4 linked regions of the Arabidopsis thaliana genome follow. The protein of the gene in region 1 interacts with the protein of each later gene in a pairwise test. Each region holds a gene or a part of one and is shown on either strand. Other genes may lie near its edges.

The links.
Region 2: the proteins of AT5G47790 (region 1) and IAA5 interact in binary tests that used the Arabidopsis thaliana proteins (3 or more experiments, as listed by UniProt).
Region 3: the proteins of AT5G47790 (region 1) and IAA19 interact in binary tests that used the Arabidopsis thaliana proteins (3 or more experiments, as listed by UniProt).
Region 4: the proteins of AT5G47790 (region 1) and IAA34 interact in binary tests that used the Arabidopsis thaliana proteins (3 or more experiments, as listed by UniProt).

What each region holds. Positions count from the first base shown.
Region 1 is NC_003076.8:19,349,412-19,354,011, reverse strand, and holds AT5G47790 (SMAD/FHA domain-containing protein), read right to left. Parts: upstream 2,721-4,600; 5' UTR 2,617-2,720; coding exon 2,261-2,616; intron 2,187-2,260; coding exon 1,433-2,186; 3' UTR 517-1,432; downstream 1-516. Other genes in the region: AT5G47800 (Phototropic-responsive NPH3 family protein), read right to left, coding at 84-411; GAUT4 (galacturonosyltransferase 4), read right to left, coding at 3,495-3,770, 3,861-4,436, 4,521-4,600. UniProt on the Arabidopsis thaliana protein: Inhibitor of protein-phosphatase 1 (PP1). Binds to and inhibits PP1 activity.
Region 2 is NC_003070.9:5,364,997-5,368,361, forward strand, and holds IAA5 (indole-3-acetic acid inducible 5), read right to left. Parts: upstream 1,502-3,365; 5' UTR 1,465-1,501; coding exon 1,119-1,464; intron 1,002-1,118; coding exon 917-1,001; intron 829-916; coding exon 768-828; 3' UTR 516-767; downstream 1-515. Other genes in the region: CYCA2;3 (CYCLIN A2;3), read left to right, coding at 1-73, 169-222; AT1G15590 (E3 ubiquitin-protein ligase), read left to right, coding at 2,378-2,763, 2,842-2,967, 3,209-3,236. UniProt on the Arabidopsis thaliana protein: Aux/IAA proteins are short-lived transcriptional factors that function as repressors of early auxin response genes at low auxin concentrations.
Region 3 is NC_003074.8:5,262,337-5,266,250, reverse strand, and holds IAA19 (indole-3-acetic acid inducible 19), read right to left. Parts: upstream 2,251-3,914; 5' UTR 2,152-2,250; coding exon 1,743-2,151; intron 1,150-1,742; coding exon 1,056-1,149; intron 964-1,055; coding exon 873-963; 3' UTR 556-872; downstream 1-555. UniProt on the Arabidopsis thaliana protein: Aux/IAA proteins are short-lived transcriptional factors that function as repressors of early auxin response genes at low auxin concentrations.
Region 4 is NC_003070.9:5,181,450-5,185,085, forward strand, and holds IAA34 (indole-3-acetic acid inducible 34), read right to left. Parts: upstream 1,965-3,636; 5' UTR 1,795-1,964; coding exon 1,708-1,794; intron 1,581-1,707; exon of another isoform or gene 1,559-1,580; coding exon 1,405-1,558; intron 1,297-1,404; coding exon 1,156-1,296; intron 1,056-1,155; coding exon 947-1,055; intron 874-946; coding exon 807-873; 3' UTR 542-806; downstream 1-541. Other genes in the region: AT1G15060 (alpha/beta hydrolase family protein), read right to left, coding at 2,604-2,663, 2,780-2,880, 3,142-3,312, 3,514-3,636. UniProt on the Arabidopsis thaliana protein: Aux/IAA proteins are short-lived transcriptional factors that function as repressors of early auxin response genes at low auxin concentrations.

The sequences.
Region 1 (4,600 bases):
GTCTGTTTATGATACAATTCTGAAAACCAAAAGAGAGAGAAAAAAAAACGAAAAAGATAAAGCAAAAGGATGATTGATTTTACCATGAAAACTGGTGTGCTCAAAGGTTGATATGAGGGAGGAAGAAGAAGAAGAAGAAGAAGGAGAAGAGAGAGAGATGTGAAAGTGGTAATGATCAAATTGACATAAAGTGTTAGTGAAATTAAATCCCAAGAGAGAGAGAGAGTTGAATGGCAACAAGGGTCCCGGCCTCGTCACTTGTTGCTCCCCGCATGGACTCAAGTCTCCAAATGGTGTCTGATATGTATTTCCTTCATACTTGTTTGGTTTGAAAATCAAAGCCAGAAAAGTTGGCTCACTAACATATTTGTCATAGGTGCCAAGGTAGTGTTTAAGAGAGTTACGCAGCATAGCTAGTAGCTATAAGTTGGAGTCAGTAACTCCTCTATGGTCTCGTTGGGAGATAAGGTGAAAATTAAGAGAAGAGAAAAGATGAATGGAGGTAGATTGTGTGGTATTAAAGGGTTGAGGTCGTAAAGTATATCATGAAAGTATCCACAACCAAAATAAATAAAAAGCCAGACACAAGTGTCCTTCATGCATTCCATCTTTTGCATAAGGAAAACAACTTCTCACCAAACAGAAAGAAAGTGAGAAACAAAAGTGGGTCTTCCACCTTTCCCTACTATAATTTATTACAAGCGAGTTTACTCTTATGATAAATACAATGGACCACACTAGGAAGAGTAGGAGTTGGATATAGGCTTAACTCAAAAGAGAGTTTTAATTTGGTTGCAGCACATTCAGCTTCTCTCTTCTTTATACTAACTGTCACAAAGCAAATCCCAAAGCAAAGATGCATTGATCCCCAAATCATATCTTAAAGCATCAGAGGCAGATTACCATTTTTACAAGTGTTTTACTTGTTGTCCATTTCCCCCCATGGAATCTCTGTTTTTGTGGGGGAGAGGGAAGTCAACCCACATCATTAGTGTGCTGTTTTAATAATGCAAAAAGGCAAAAGTGAAAAAGAATGAGAGGAGAGGTATTTGAGTACAAATGTCCTCTTCTGATGGAATTGGTCTGCCTTGAGGAGAGAATCTGTAAGTCAGTAGTGGTCTAATCAAATGCACTCCATTTGCATTGGCCCTACTCTCTACTCTCCACACTATTTGTAATGACTATCTATGTAATGCATCTCCTGTTAAGACCCACAACTAGAATGACCACTGACCAGGCTCAAGCTCATATCAAATTTCAGGGTTCTTACTTATAACACAAGACAATGGGCCTGGGCTTAGAGCTGCTCTCTTTTCTTGCTGCAGCCATTGGATAGACAAAGAGGAAACAACATACCAATGCCTTTGGAATGGAATGTAGGCATTAGAGAAGAAGAAGAGTTACTTAAAGGAATCTCAGTGTTCAAAATCAGTTAGTCACCAAACAGATCGTCGTTATCATCTTCTTCACCAACCCCTCCACATTCAGTTTCAGCTGCTGGTTGACTCACAGAAGCCCATGACGTACCAACAGCCTTGGCAAGTGAGTCACCACCGTAAAGGTCATCGTAAATCCCTGTTTTTGGACCCCGTTTCAACATATTCATAGCTTCCTGGAGTCGATCTGTTACACCTCCTCTTGTTCCTCCTGTAAAGGCTTTCTCTTCCTTCACTTTGCCTTTGGGTATGAGTGTCACTCGCACCAGTGATTCATATTTCCCAACGAGGCTTCCTTCTTTGACATTTATAGGACCAGGCTCTGTTTCCACGTCTGCTCCATCAGACATGCCAACAATCTCAGCCAGCTCTCCTCCTAGTTGATCCCTGAAGCTCACTCTCACTTTCTTCATCCTCTTAGCCACTCCCGCTTCTGATCCGGTCTTCTCTTTCCTTTTCCCTAACATACCACCAGATTCTCCATTGCTTAAACCATATCGATTCAGCAAGGTATTGTAAGCAACAACAGCTTCCTCATCAGAAGCATCAGGAGGTGGAGGAAGCTTAATCTCAGCTGGAGGTGGAGGGCGAGAAAAGAGAGCCTCACTGTTCTTTCTCAGAAGGTAGATTCTTGTGGAGGCAGCAAATCGTAAGGATTGACCCACTTCAAGCTCTACAGGAGTATCTTTAGTCAACCTCTCATTTGCAACAAACGTACCATGAGCTGATCCCAAGTCAATCACAAAGATGCTACAAAAAATAAAAAAGACTCATGTCAACAGTGGCCAAAGCTGTGATGAGAGAATTGAGTAGCGATGACAAACCTGCCATTCTTGTGAGGAACAACTGCGGCATGCTGGCGGGAAACAGACTGATGATCAAGGACAAAATCACAAGTCTGATGTTGTCTCCCGAAGATATGCCTTCGTCTATCTAGATGAATCCGATCAAGGATCTGGCCGTCTTTCACAACTTCCAGAGAGTAGACACCGGCACGAGGCTCAATCGCCCAATCAGGGGGATGCCAGTTTGATTGACCAGCTCCAATCTGAGTTTTTTGCCCCGACAATGCCTCCGGAGACAGATGTTGTTGTACCACCGGAGGAGGATTTGCTGATACAGAGAAGGGTTCCGAAGTTTGGGACTTCTTAAACCTGTCAAGACCAGATCTTCCATACATTCTCGAATCTAAATCTAAAAAGCAGCAATCTTTCTTTCTTTACCAGTCGACGTATTCACATGATCCCCTTCAAGTAACCAGACTCAGTCTAGGGTTTCTCCTTTCTTCAATTCTGTCCAAAGATCGAACATCTACTGAGAACATAAATTTGCAGCTTCAGTCCCTATACTTTATGTATTCTTCTAAACGTACCCCTATGTTTTTTTTTATGGATCAGTGAATTTCATATCCTAACAAATCAACTAGGTCAAGATAGTAAGGCTTTTCACGGAAATGCTTTGAGAATCCTGTGGATGTGATTACGAAGTAGAATCCCATCGTTGATGGCAACCATACCAACCTGTAACATTGTGTTAGAGTACTACTCAAGTGGACTGCAGCGTGAGAAAATTATGAAAAACTTACCTGTGGAACTCTGAACCAGCAAGGTTGAACACGGCGGGTGACAGAGTTAAACTGAATATACAATAAACTACACAAGTCAAAACGTATTGTCAGAGTCATTCGAAATCACATTCACGTAATTCCGATTCGAATCTCTTTTCGTCTTCACTGGGCTAATATTCATGCTACTCTGGTTCGATAATCGGCTTGACTATTTATGTTGTATTGCTCTTTGGCAAATTTGATTAAAGTCTAAAGTCTCCTATAGACCTATGTCAATTGTCACTTGCTTTACATAAACAGCGACAAAAAGGAATACGAAAAGTAGTTGTTTCATTGTTTCGTTGTCATTCCTCTTGTTGATATATATGTTGCAATAATAACATCGGTCGTGCCTATTGGAACTCCTTTTACCGTGACATATACAATTTCATGTAATGATCATCTCGTCAGATTATAAACGTATAATATTGCCCTCACAACAGACTCTAATTCTAAGGATTGATGTTGCATTCTCTGAGATAAACGTGCTCATAGTCTACATGCTTTGACCAGAAGCCTCTGTATCTTGGAATCCCAATCTCTAGCCATGGTTTGAGGTTGCCATTATAGTGTATCACGGCTGCCCTCTCAATATCCCTTTGGTTCACACTCGGGTTGTATCCAAGCCCTAGTATGTGCCATTTCCGGTCTAGCGGATATGTTCGTCTCCAAAATGTGATTAGACCAGGCGGCAACGTCCCTAGCTTCCACAATTCTCGGTCTTGATTCTGCAGTTTAAAATCGTTCGTGTATATGATTAGCAAACATTCTTGAAATCAAAACAGATGCGACCTAGCATATATATATTTTCTGCATACCAGATCCTGCCATCGATGATAAACTTCTGTGATGTTTTGCCTCTTCCATTCATCCAGATCAAAGACATTCATACCATACGCCCAACCACAAGCTCGAGGGTCAAAGTTCTTGGAAATGAGTGGATTTGAGAAGTTCAGATAACGGTCAAAGCGATGAAAGCTTTCCCCACACGTCTCTACAGCACCGTTAACATTACCTTTCAGATCAACTGACCAAAGACCAGAAAGGTCCTTCTGCACAACTATATCATCATCCAAGAAGAGCACTTTGCTGAGCTTGGGAAAGATCTCAGGCAAGTAAAAACGAAGATGATTAAGGATCGATAAGTATTTTGGATTCCGGAACTTCAAGTTGGTGTCTGAATTTGTATGGTGGGCTCTGAAGTAATAATCTATCATCGATCTAGAACTAAGCTGTTTGAGAACGGGACTGTAGCTTGAATTCAGCCATGTAAATTCTTCAACATTCTGAACCTGGATGGTGGCTTTGCCAGGTGGATTGTCCAGGAACCACATCCTCATTGCCGCATAATTGAGTCTGTCTGTGACGATGTGGAAGACATGCTTTAAGGGATGCTGCCAATAAACCATTAAGACCGTAAGTTTAACAGAAAGAAACACAGTTACATGTTCAAACAAAAGAAGAAAGTTAATTCTTACCTTTGCATTGGTTATGGTAGAGTTAACAACAACTGACGTAGCCAAAACATTATCAGAGAAAAGGGCATAGTGATACAGCT
Region 2 (3,365 bases), on another chromosome or scaffold:
CTTACAAGATCTGCAGCTTAACACCAAAGGTTGCCCCTTGAGCGCTATACGCATGAAGTATAGGCAAGAGAAAGTAAGCTTATCAGTTAAAACCACATACTAAAACCTGTTTGGTATAACTTTAGTTTGGTTTCCTTGATTCTCATAAGACTTATTATGGATTTGCAGTACAAATCTGTGGCGGTTCTCACGTCTCCAAAGCTACTTGACACGCTATTCTGAAGGTTTCAACTCCTAACCGATAATAGTTTTGTCACATTGATGGTCCAATTTCGTTTTCATTCATCTGTTACTCTTTGTTCATAAAACAGAATTTCCACAGTCCCACTCATCTAATACCTGATTAGAATTCGGTTTAGCCTAGTTTGATCCGTGGTTTGGTTCTTCCAAACCCGGGAACATCTAATCGGTACCTAGAGTTTTTTTTATTGTAACGAGAATGTACATTTTTCTCCCATCTTGAGGCAATGTAAACAGATTCGGAATTTTCATATCAGTTTTCTGATATGAAGTAGGTTTAAGTATTTATATTTCAAATTTCATTGATTGTTGATATTGAACTGTCATGCAGTAGCTTATAAGAACCGCCTCTAGACTTTAGTCCAGTGACCAAAAGATAAAGATGAATGAACTATGTCAAAGAAAACAACTTCTACAGAAATTTCGGAAATCTTAGACTTCCGAAGAGAAATATTGAGTAACTGCAAAAATGTATATTTAGATATCTGTAAGGCTCACTCACATTCACATGTGACTATAAATATCATTCATCCTCTGTTACATGATCTCTTCATAATCCTTAACCTCTTGCACGATCCAAGGAACATTCTGCACACAAATAGTTTCATAATTTATTAGATATCAATTAAATAAAAGAAAGTAAATTTGAATGTTATAGAGGTCGCTAGAAACTTACTCCCAAGGAACATCTCCAGCAAGCATCCAATCTCCATCTTTGTCTTCATATATTGGTACACATTCACTTTCCTTCAACGTATCATCTTCATTTTCATATATAAAGATTATAAAGTTAATATCGATGTTTTGGATCATTAGTTGCCTTGATAAGTAAAGACTAAAACCAAAAATATATACTATATATAGAAACATAAACTAACCAAAATTGATATAGCATCCGAACAGAATTTGCAGAGCGGAAGCAAGATCTTGGTAACATTTGTACATTTCCAAATCAATCTTCCTTAAAAATGCAGCTCCATCTACACTCACTTTCACGTACGAACTTTTGGTCCGTTCGAGACTGTTCTTTCTCCGGTACGAACAAACCGGTGGCCAACCCACAACTTGACTCTTTTTCGCCGGTTCACATTTCAAATCAATCTCTACTTCCGGAGAAGCCCTCTTCTTCCCGGAGATGGACTCACCGGAGACGACGATATCTCCGGGAAGACCTAGCCGTAGTTCGGTGATTTCGAGTCCAAGATTATTACTCTCATTCGCCATCTTTGATGTTTTTGATTGAAAGTATTGGTGTTAATGTGTTTGAACTTTATTCTGTTGCCACTTTATATGTTCTCATGGGAACATAAACGATGGCGTTTGAGACAAGCTTGTTTAGCATTGATTTATCTTGTCGGCCCCATTCGAAGATCTTGTCGAAATTTTTATGTCATGTTTTTTCATTCCTTTGCCGCTTCGTGTTTAAATGTCGATAATATGGATCCGTTGGTTCGACACACTGGACGGCCACGATTTTGTTACCGACAAAGTAGGGTTTCTTTCTCAGCCGTTGGATCAGAAACACGTTACTTTCTATTAGACATCCCATGTTATGTGTGATTTGTTATGTCTGTATCCCATTCTTTTAATCAACGACATAATAATAAAACAACATATTCATGGTCGAATATATATTAGTGCACTTTAAAATCTACGTATATTTATGTTTCTCGACAACCGAACACGTGTTACTCAAGGCTAAGACAAGTTATTATATTATTTCATTTTTTTCTACACGTAACACACTACACAGTGCATACATAATTTCAAAGAAAAAAATGCATCTACGTTTTCGTCATATATCTTGTTTCTGCTATTCACACATGTGCCCGATACTTTCATTACATCATACGTAATCTACACATGTACACCATACTTTTGTCATTATTTGTTACGAAATAGAAACAGAACTGATCAAAATATCAATTACGGGATATATTTCCATTTTTCATAGATATTTCCATATCTTTGTATCTCCAATAGTACATTTTTGGAATGTTCACATGTTGATAGATAAGCTAGATTAGTCAAATTTCCTTGTACACAATTTCTAGTTTTCGATTGATCATGTAGAATTGCGTATAATATATTGTCGGCTGGCTTTAGCCAATGAATAACACAACAAGACTTTGTGATAATGGACAGCGAATCCCACAGTGATAATGATGATCACATAATCGACATTACAAACGATGAAGATTCTTCATCAAGATCGTCTTTGGACGAGAGAAGCTATCCTTCATTAAGTTCGTCTCTGTCTACGGATGACGAATCGTCAGATGAAGGTGCAAGTTCATCTACGAGAGACTGTGGTAGTCTTTGGAATATAATGGAATTAGTAGTCACTTTGGTTCAGATTGTTGCATCATTAATAGTTTTAACTCTGGCAAAAGATGAACATCAACAAGCACTTTTGTTAACATGGGTCATCGGTTACACTTGTGGCTGTATTACCATTACGCTCCTTATTCTCCTCTCGTGTGTCCGCAAATACAACCGAATTGGTGTTTACTCAAAAACGAGGTATAATAAACAACACTTGTTTCACTTAACATTAAGAGTTTAATTAGCTAAATCAAACCGAACCGTTGTTGGTGGCAGAACGGATAGGGTAATGGATGCTTTGAAGATGGGGAATGAATGTTTCTTTGTTGTGTGGTTAGTTATGGGGATTCTATGGATTTGTTATGGACACTCATCTTCTTCTGATACTCCTAAGCTCTACAGGTTTGACTCACAATCATGTCACAGTAGAGATTTAGTTAAACCCTAACTAATCAGTACTAACTTTTGTCTTCTTGATTATGTTTTGGCAGGTTATGTGTAGTCTTCATTGCTTTCAGTTGCATTAGATTTGCATATGCATTACTATTATGCGCAGGTATTTTTTTCGCTTAATGTTCACTAGAGTTTGGAACATTTTTTTCTCATATCTATGATGTGGATAAGTTGAAATCAAATGATGTAGATTCTGTAAGGGAAGGTATAGGAGGTAGATTTGTTTTCAAGAAACCGAGCCATGATGATGTGAGTAATAATTTCATATCACATTAATTACTCTGTTTTAAATAGCATTTTTTTGTTGTTGTTGTTGTTTAATTTTCATGGTTTGATGGTGTGTGCAG
Region 3 (3,914 bases), on another chromosome or scaffold:
ATCCAAGTACTAATTTTATTGTACAGAACAACAATATAGAAAAACAAAAACTAGGTTGACATACCGAACATGTCGGTGTTTTCTATAATTGATAGTACTTATGCTATCAAAAGCAAGATGTGCATATCTATAAAAAGAATCATTACAAAAAAAAAAAAAAAAATGAAGAATAAGCTTAAATCTTTAAATTAAGCAATCTTAACTTTGAATGTGAAATTACGATTATGAATTAACTAATTTCTTCGGAGGTATACGAATATTTGGAATAAAAACTTACTAGTAAAAATCTTATAGTACTAATAAATTATACAAGCATAACTCTAAGAGAAAAAAAAGGAAGAATGAATTCTTTGTTTTTATCTTACACTTATATACTTATGAAAACATCTATTTAGATTTGTGATGTCACTTACTGAAGTAGAAGTAAAAACTAACGAATGTTTTACGTAGACTTTTTTTATAAATATCTATTTAGATTTGCTTATAATATCCATATTTTTTCCAAAACACAGGTATACATAACATATCAACAATGAAAGATTCAAATAATAATTATTATTTTTTAAAAAGATGAAATAATGGATACTTATTACATATGTTTCTACACACATATATAGATCCGAAATAACAATAAATTTTGAAACAGATTAATGTTTTAACTCAACACTCAAGAAACAAGTAGTGTATATATATATAGCTGTCTTTCTGAAGATAATTATGCAAAACCATAACATGAAATTTTGTTGCAAAATAATATACTATAACATATATATTTATATAACATGAATAGGAAAAATGTTCTAAAGGATCTTGATGATCAAGTTTAAGATTAAATTAATGAACCAGCTCCTTGCTTCTTGTTCAAGTCATCATCACTCGTCTACTCCTCTAGGCTGCAGCCCAAACCCGGTAGCATCCGATCTTTTCATTATTCTCAACCTCTTGCATGACTCTAGAAACATCCTGCAAATCAAAATATCCAAACTCATTTACTTTAGTTTGTGATACATTTTCTTTTTGTAGTGAGATATCTTAAGTCAAAAGATAGAACATACCCCCAAGGTACATCACCGGCGAGCATCCAGTCTCCATCTTTGTCTTCGTATATGGTAACGTATTCGCAGTTGTCACCATCTTTCAAGGCCACACCTGCACAAATATGTATATATGTAAATTTAAAATTGTGTTGATAATATGGCGAATTCGGTATATAGAAAAGTCTAATTAACAATACAACTATACAAGTGGTGCATAAATTCTGATTTTTAGAAATTACGGATATGTAGTAACCGAAACCTCTAATTTTCTATGATAGATAATTTTCAGATAATTCAAAACAGTTTGGAGAAAAATAACCAGTTAAATTAGGACTAGTCTTAAGTCTCTAAGAACAAGTAAATAAATTTCCTGAGATGACTAATAAAAATCTCGACATATTTGTCCTTTCATAACACTTTAAATTAAAATCTATAACATTGCTACCACAATCAGTTCAACTGCTAACCAAAATTCTAACTATATTTGTATTAGTGTTGTCATTGTATCATAAATTGGGGTGTTGGTTTGGTTGTAGACATAAAAAGAAAGAACAGCACTAAACTATACTACTCCATTACGTCTACAAGACTACAACACTCTAAGTTCTTAATCGGACGTCTTGTAAACTATATATAATTAGTTGTTTTCCACATGATCTAATTACCACTCTACTTTTATGGGAAGAGAACATAATTGTTACTAACCGATGCCACGGAAACCGAAGAGCTTATCAAGAGCAAAGGCTAGATCATCATAGCCTTGGCTCGAACCAAGATCCATCTTCCTCAAATAAGGCACACCATCCATGCTCACTTTCACATACCCTAACCCCACTTTCGTGGTCGAAGCTTCCTTACAGCTGTTTTTCTTCCGGTAAGAACAAACCGGTGGCCACCCCACCACCTGGCTTTTCGCCGCCGGCGAATCATTAACCTTCTCAGCGTCACCACCAGATGAAACGACGCCGCTTTCACATTGATCACTATTACTACCCGACGACGTCATATTCATCTCCGTGAAAGCTCTCTTCTTCATCATCTTCTCTGCCACATCTCTCCCCGGAAGCCCCAATCTCAGCTCCGTTATCTCAAGCCCGAGTCCTTCCTTCTCCATTTCTTGAACTTCTTTTTTTCCTCTCACAATTTGATACAATTATGAAATGAGAACTTTCTTCTCCTACACTTCTCTTATTGTAGTAATGGCACCGCGTCGTGCTTTTTATATGTTGCTTCGTTGGTCCACACGATACAACCAATGAAAACCAATCCAATATCGACACGTGGAGTCATTTGATATCTAAAGTCTTCTTCTTCTTGTTATTCAGTTTGTGTGGGGAGACAAAGTGGGGGCAGAGACAGGTCAACTGAGGATGCGGTGGTCGGTCACATGAGAGACATAAGTTTGGTGCTGTTTTTATTTTTTTCTCAAAATTAATAAAGACCGGCATTACAAGGTGGTTAAGGGAACAGATCCTACGGTTGTGAAATTTTCTTCTGATTTTTCTCTGACCGTTGGATCATTGGAATCCGAATCTCCTTCTCCTAACATCCCATGTGTTTTTTTTTTGTAAAGATTCTTGTTCTAACTAGTATATCACAGAATCACAACTATAGTATACTTTTTCTTCAATAAGTTCATGTTATTTAGTTATTTTATAGTGAAAATAAATAAATAAAACTATAGTCTATTTGTTTGCATTTCTAATAAGAGGATGGGAATATTAAATCAAATCCTACCATTTTGGGATATGTTCGTTTATCTCTCTTTGCATCAGTTTTTTTGGATTGGCTTGTATATAACTAACAACATTTAGCTTAATAGTAAGATATTCCAGCAATGATTTTGATTGGTCACCGCTTTAATCTCACATGGAGAATATAAACCAGATATACAAAATTTGTATGGATCAGAATCAAATATAGTACCGAGTTTAGTTTTGGAATGTGACAAATAGTTACAAAGTAAAAACGTATATTCTAGTATGTTTTGGGTTCAGGTTTGAGTTTTAATCAAATCATATCCATAATTTATAAGAATATAACTACCTTCTCAAGTATTGGGTTGAATTTTACTTAGGGATTCAATTATATACATGCTCTAATCAAATTAGAATTTGGTTCGACTTTTAGATCAGTTTTTTTTTTTTTTTGTTTTTTGAATATCATATCATATGGATTGAATTTGTACTAATTTATAACTATTTAAATCTTCTTTGCAACATCCTGGTAAACCAAATTCCCAAAGAAATATATAGTCAATGGCAACACCTCTCAACTTAGACTAACAAGAGGATGTATTGTAATCTTAAGTTAGAGCTGTTTATGATACTCATCTCCAAAGTTAGTCTCGAACCAATGACTTCAAGCGGAGTATAACTAGTTTCGAATAGGTTCAAACTAAGCCAGACCCGCATTGTTGGGTAGTTGTTAACTATCTCTAGCTCAGCATACCAATAAAACACAAGAAGTATAATGATGGGGTTTAGAGGACGTAGGGACACGAGAATAGAAAAAAAGATCGACCGTGTGTATGTGTGTGAGTGTGTGTGGGTTCACTCTTGTCTACCAACTTTGATCAATGGATTGACAGAAACAAGTTGGGCCACGTGAAATTATATGAAATACAACCACATAAAGAGATTAAGTTCCATACTCCCATATCTCTAGTTTACCTTTAATGTTTCCAAAGGCTACCAAACGACATTTGTAGCACCAAATATTTATAAATTCCATTTTTACAAATTTTGAGTGGGAGCAGTGTTTGGTTTTCATCTCAAACGCACAACTGTCATCCTTTAAAAAAAACGTTTGTTTTATCAATAAACAAATATAATTTGATCAAAAATTTCATCCGAAGCCCCTTTTTCACCATGAAAT
Region 4 (3,636 bases), on another chromosome or scaffold:
GTCCACTCAAAGCTGACGCACACTTTTTATTATCTGTATACGTTTTTGGTCAAACCTTTCCTATTGCCTATTGGATGCTGAGATGGACTTCTCTGGATATTCCAAATTATTCCTTCTTTTGATTTGGTTATGTTAAACAAAAAAACGTTTTCTTAGTAATAAATGGATATGGATCAGATTAGGTTCTTAGGAGGATTAGATATGAATGGATGACTCATTGACTTGTAACAATATTAAGCATGCAGAGCATATACTGTATATGTCTTTATTTTATACTATATAAATGCATGTCTTTCTGTATTTGGAGGGTGTTGAATTAATTATGGAAATCACGTCATCCTAATCAGCCACCGGTTCAGTCACTCTTACGTGTAAAAGATAACGTCGTAGACTTTCAACAACTCCGTATGAATGAAAATGTAAGAAAAAAGATCGAGGTTGTCGCCGGAGTTGAGCTCTCTTGTCTTCACAAGGCCTTCGATATCCTACTCATTTTTCGTTTATGCGGATTATGAATTGAAAAGTATGAAAGATAAAATGGCAAATTCACCATCGTAATTACACCACTATATCTTAAAACTGGATGGTTCACAATATCTTCGTATCATGGTAAGACGAGAATCCAGACGTAACATATCGGAGCTCTAGTGATCAGGATTTCACCGAAAAAAGTAGTTCGTGGTTCTTTCTTTATTTCGAATATAATCGTATTCAAAGTTACATTTACCTTTTCTCTTTTGTTTCATTTCCGATTCAAGGCTGACTTGGAAATTATAACAAAGAGTGAAGAAAGAGAGAAGCTAATATTAAAAGGGAAGTACAGCATCGTTTCTTCTTGTGATTCTCAGCCGCTCCACGCTTTCTATGAACTCACTGTCATTTACAAATCACAACACATGTAAACGCTTTATTTCAGTAATCTACAAAGAAAGTATCAAGAGCTTACTTCCATGGAACATCCCCAGCATTTCTCCACAGACCTTCTTCGTCTCTGTAGACCAAACAGAACTCAGACTCCATCTGGAACAACCTCAATCCCGACACACTCTGCATCCCTACAGATTGTAATGAACATCCGGTATAAGCCTACTAGGAACATTACTACTTATAGTACTTACTCATCTTTGAATCCCAAGCTTCCCATGAAAAACTTACCAAACATGTCCTCGAGTTGATGAGCAAGAGTTGAATAGCTTCCATGATCAAGAACACAGACCTTGCGACCTACCACCAAACCATCCATGGTGACCTTTACATAACCCCACTTCCGTCTGTATCCTTCATTACTACAATATCCTTTGCCACATGTCATAACTCATAAGTAAACACCGTCTCAGAGTTGAAAAAATTTACCAAGAAATTAAAGGTAATGGAAATACTAATGGAAACGGCAAAGAAACTCACTTTGGCCAGATGAGTGGTAAATCTCATGTTGTATGGTTCTCAGGCTGAGACCTAAATCGATTACGCCACCAAACTCCGTGGTCTGCGAGTAATATGGATGATACTTGGGAGAATTTGGGAAAACACCGAGTGGGTCTGAGTCCATTGTTGGTTTCTATAACAAATACATATTCAGCACATAACAGATACATAGAAAGGTGAGAATGATGTTGATTTATATCAAGCAGCTAAGGCTAAGAGTGTCAGGAGAGTTAAGAGACATCATTGCAGACAGGGAACAAACAAAAGACAAGAACACATTACCTTCCAGGAAAGGATCAGTTTGTGGTCTTTTTGTTGTTTGTCTGATGCCACTAAGTGCAAGGGATGGGGAGGATCGCTGCAATACATCTGGTCAGCCAACACAAAAACCTGAAATTATCGTGAAGTCAGAATTGTACTATACTAATCACAGCAAGCACATCTCTATCTAGTGAAGTGTCTCAATGTTATCAGAGAGTGTTGACAACTCATTGTCTCAAGTCAAAACCTGTAATCACTCAACATCAAACACGTTACAAAAGAAATAGGTAAGTCGTGCTAGAGAATTCTGTACCATAGAGAATCCAACGAATTAATTTATGGACAAAGAAAGAGAAGAACTAGGTATGGTCTTACATGATGGTGGAGAGACAATATCTTTCATGAAAGAGAGCTCTGTTGTTTAATACTAGACAATTCAGATCTATCATTACATCATGTATCCCACACATTATCTGAGAAGTAGGGCTGTGTCATTAATGGATCTAAGACAGAAAATGTACACATAAATCCATGTCTATACAATTGCTCTCATGGATAACTCAAGTCCTCCAAAAGAAGCAAAGCAGTACAAGAGAACACACCAGTTCTTCTAAAGATAAATGTTCAAATAAAAAGCTCGTTGCCATAACAAAACAAGGGAAATCATCACAGTAGACAAGAGCTTCCAGCATCTCATTCGATGCTTTTCCTAATTTACAGGTGTATGACTTGAAAAAACTGCATCCTAAGCTCATGTACAGTTTGCCCAGATACTAAATGTACGTGTCTTAAACGGAAATGGCATCCTTTTTAACAGGCGCTTCTGAAACACACTTCTTCGACACCACCTTAGTGCGACGTCTACAATCTACATGTGCTATAGCATGCAAGGAACAGAAACTCCCGAAATGTTTCACTTATGCGGAATCATGGTGGCTAAGAAATTCAGTTATGCAAGGATAGACTTGCTCCACTGCCTGCAGTAAGTTGTCAGAGAAACGATTAACAAACGAAACAAGCATGCACATGATACAGCATTGAACAAAGTTCCAACATAGGAGGAGACCTAGAAATGACTGGGGAACAAACATACCAGTCGTCCTCCAACCAAATCATAGTGTGCATAATGTGGTCCATCTGGTTCTCCAAGTAACTTATAAGTGACCAAGTTCTCCGGAAACAGCTTAACAGTGTCTGCCATATTCACAAGCATTTGTAATTAGTCATAATGGTGAAAATGCATGTGTGAGTAGCTTAAAAATTTATTTGGTGTGTGTGGAAAGTATCACAAAAGTTAATCCATCTACGCCTTATACAGCCTCTCATAACTCGAAAGAATTCAGTAACAGCAATGTAGAATTTAAAATGAAATGCATATCTGGGTAAATGAATGGTTTCATGTATATGCTAGAGTCATCTATGCAGAATTTCATAATAAACATTATGTTAGTATACCTTCCACAGCCGCAGGGGGGCAGATCAAGTCCCGATCACCTGCAAGAGCTAAGACAGGGACACTGGTTCTGGGAAGATGATCCTTATAGTAAAATTTACCACTACGATCACGTAAGCCTCCCTCTCGAAAGGCCGTTGTCAGCTGAATAAGTAGTTTTGCAGGTATGGTACCTAGATGTAAGAAAACAAAGAAACTCTTGAAAATCACCATAAAGGGAGCAATTACGGATTGCAAAAAAAGTCATGGTACATTCAAGCATCTAATAGTAACTGTTCCAGCATTTTCTTTTTCTTAATGAAGATACGTTTCTTTTCCACTTAAAATACATTAAGAACTCACATACTTAAATGGGATCAACTGTTTTTACTTACAGAAGTTATTCAAGACAAGCTTTTCTAACATTTCAGGGTGCATCATATCTGTTGATGATATCAAATCATTAAGCCAAGATAATACATATGGAGGACGTGTCGAAAGAGGAAAAGCGGCAGCCA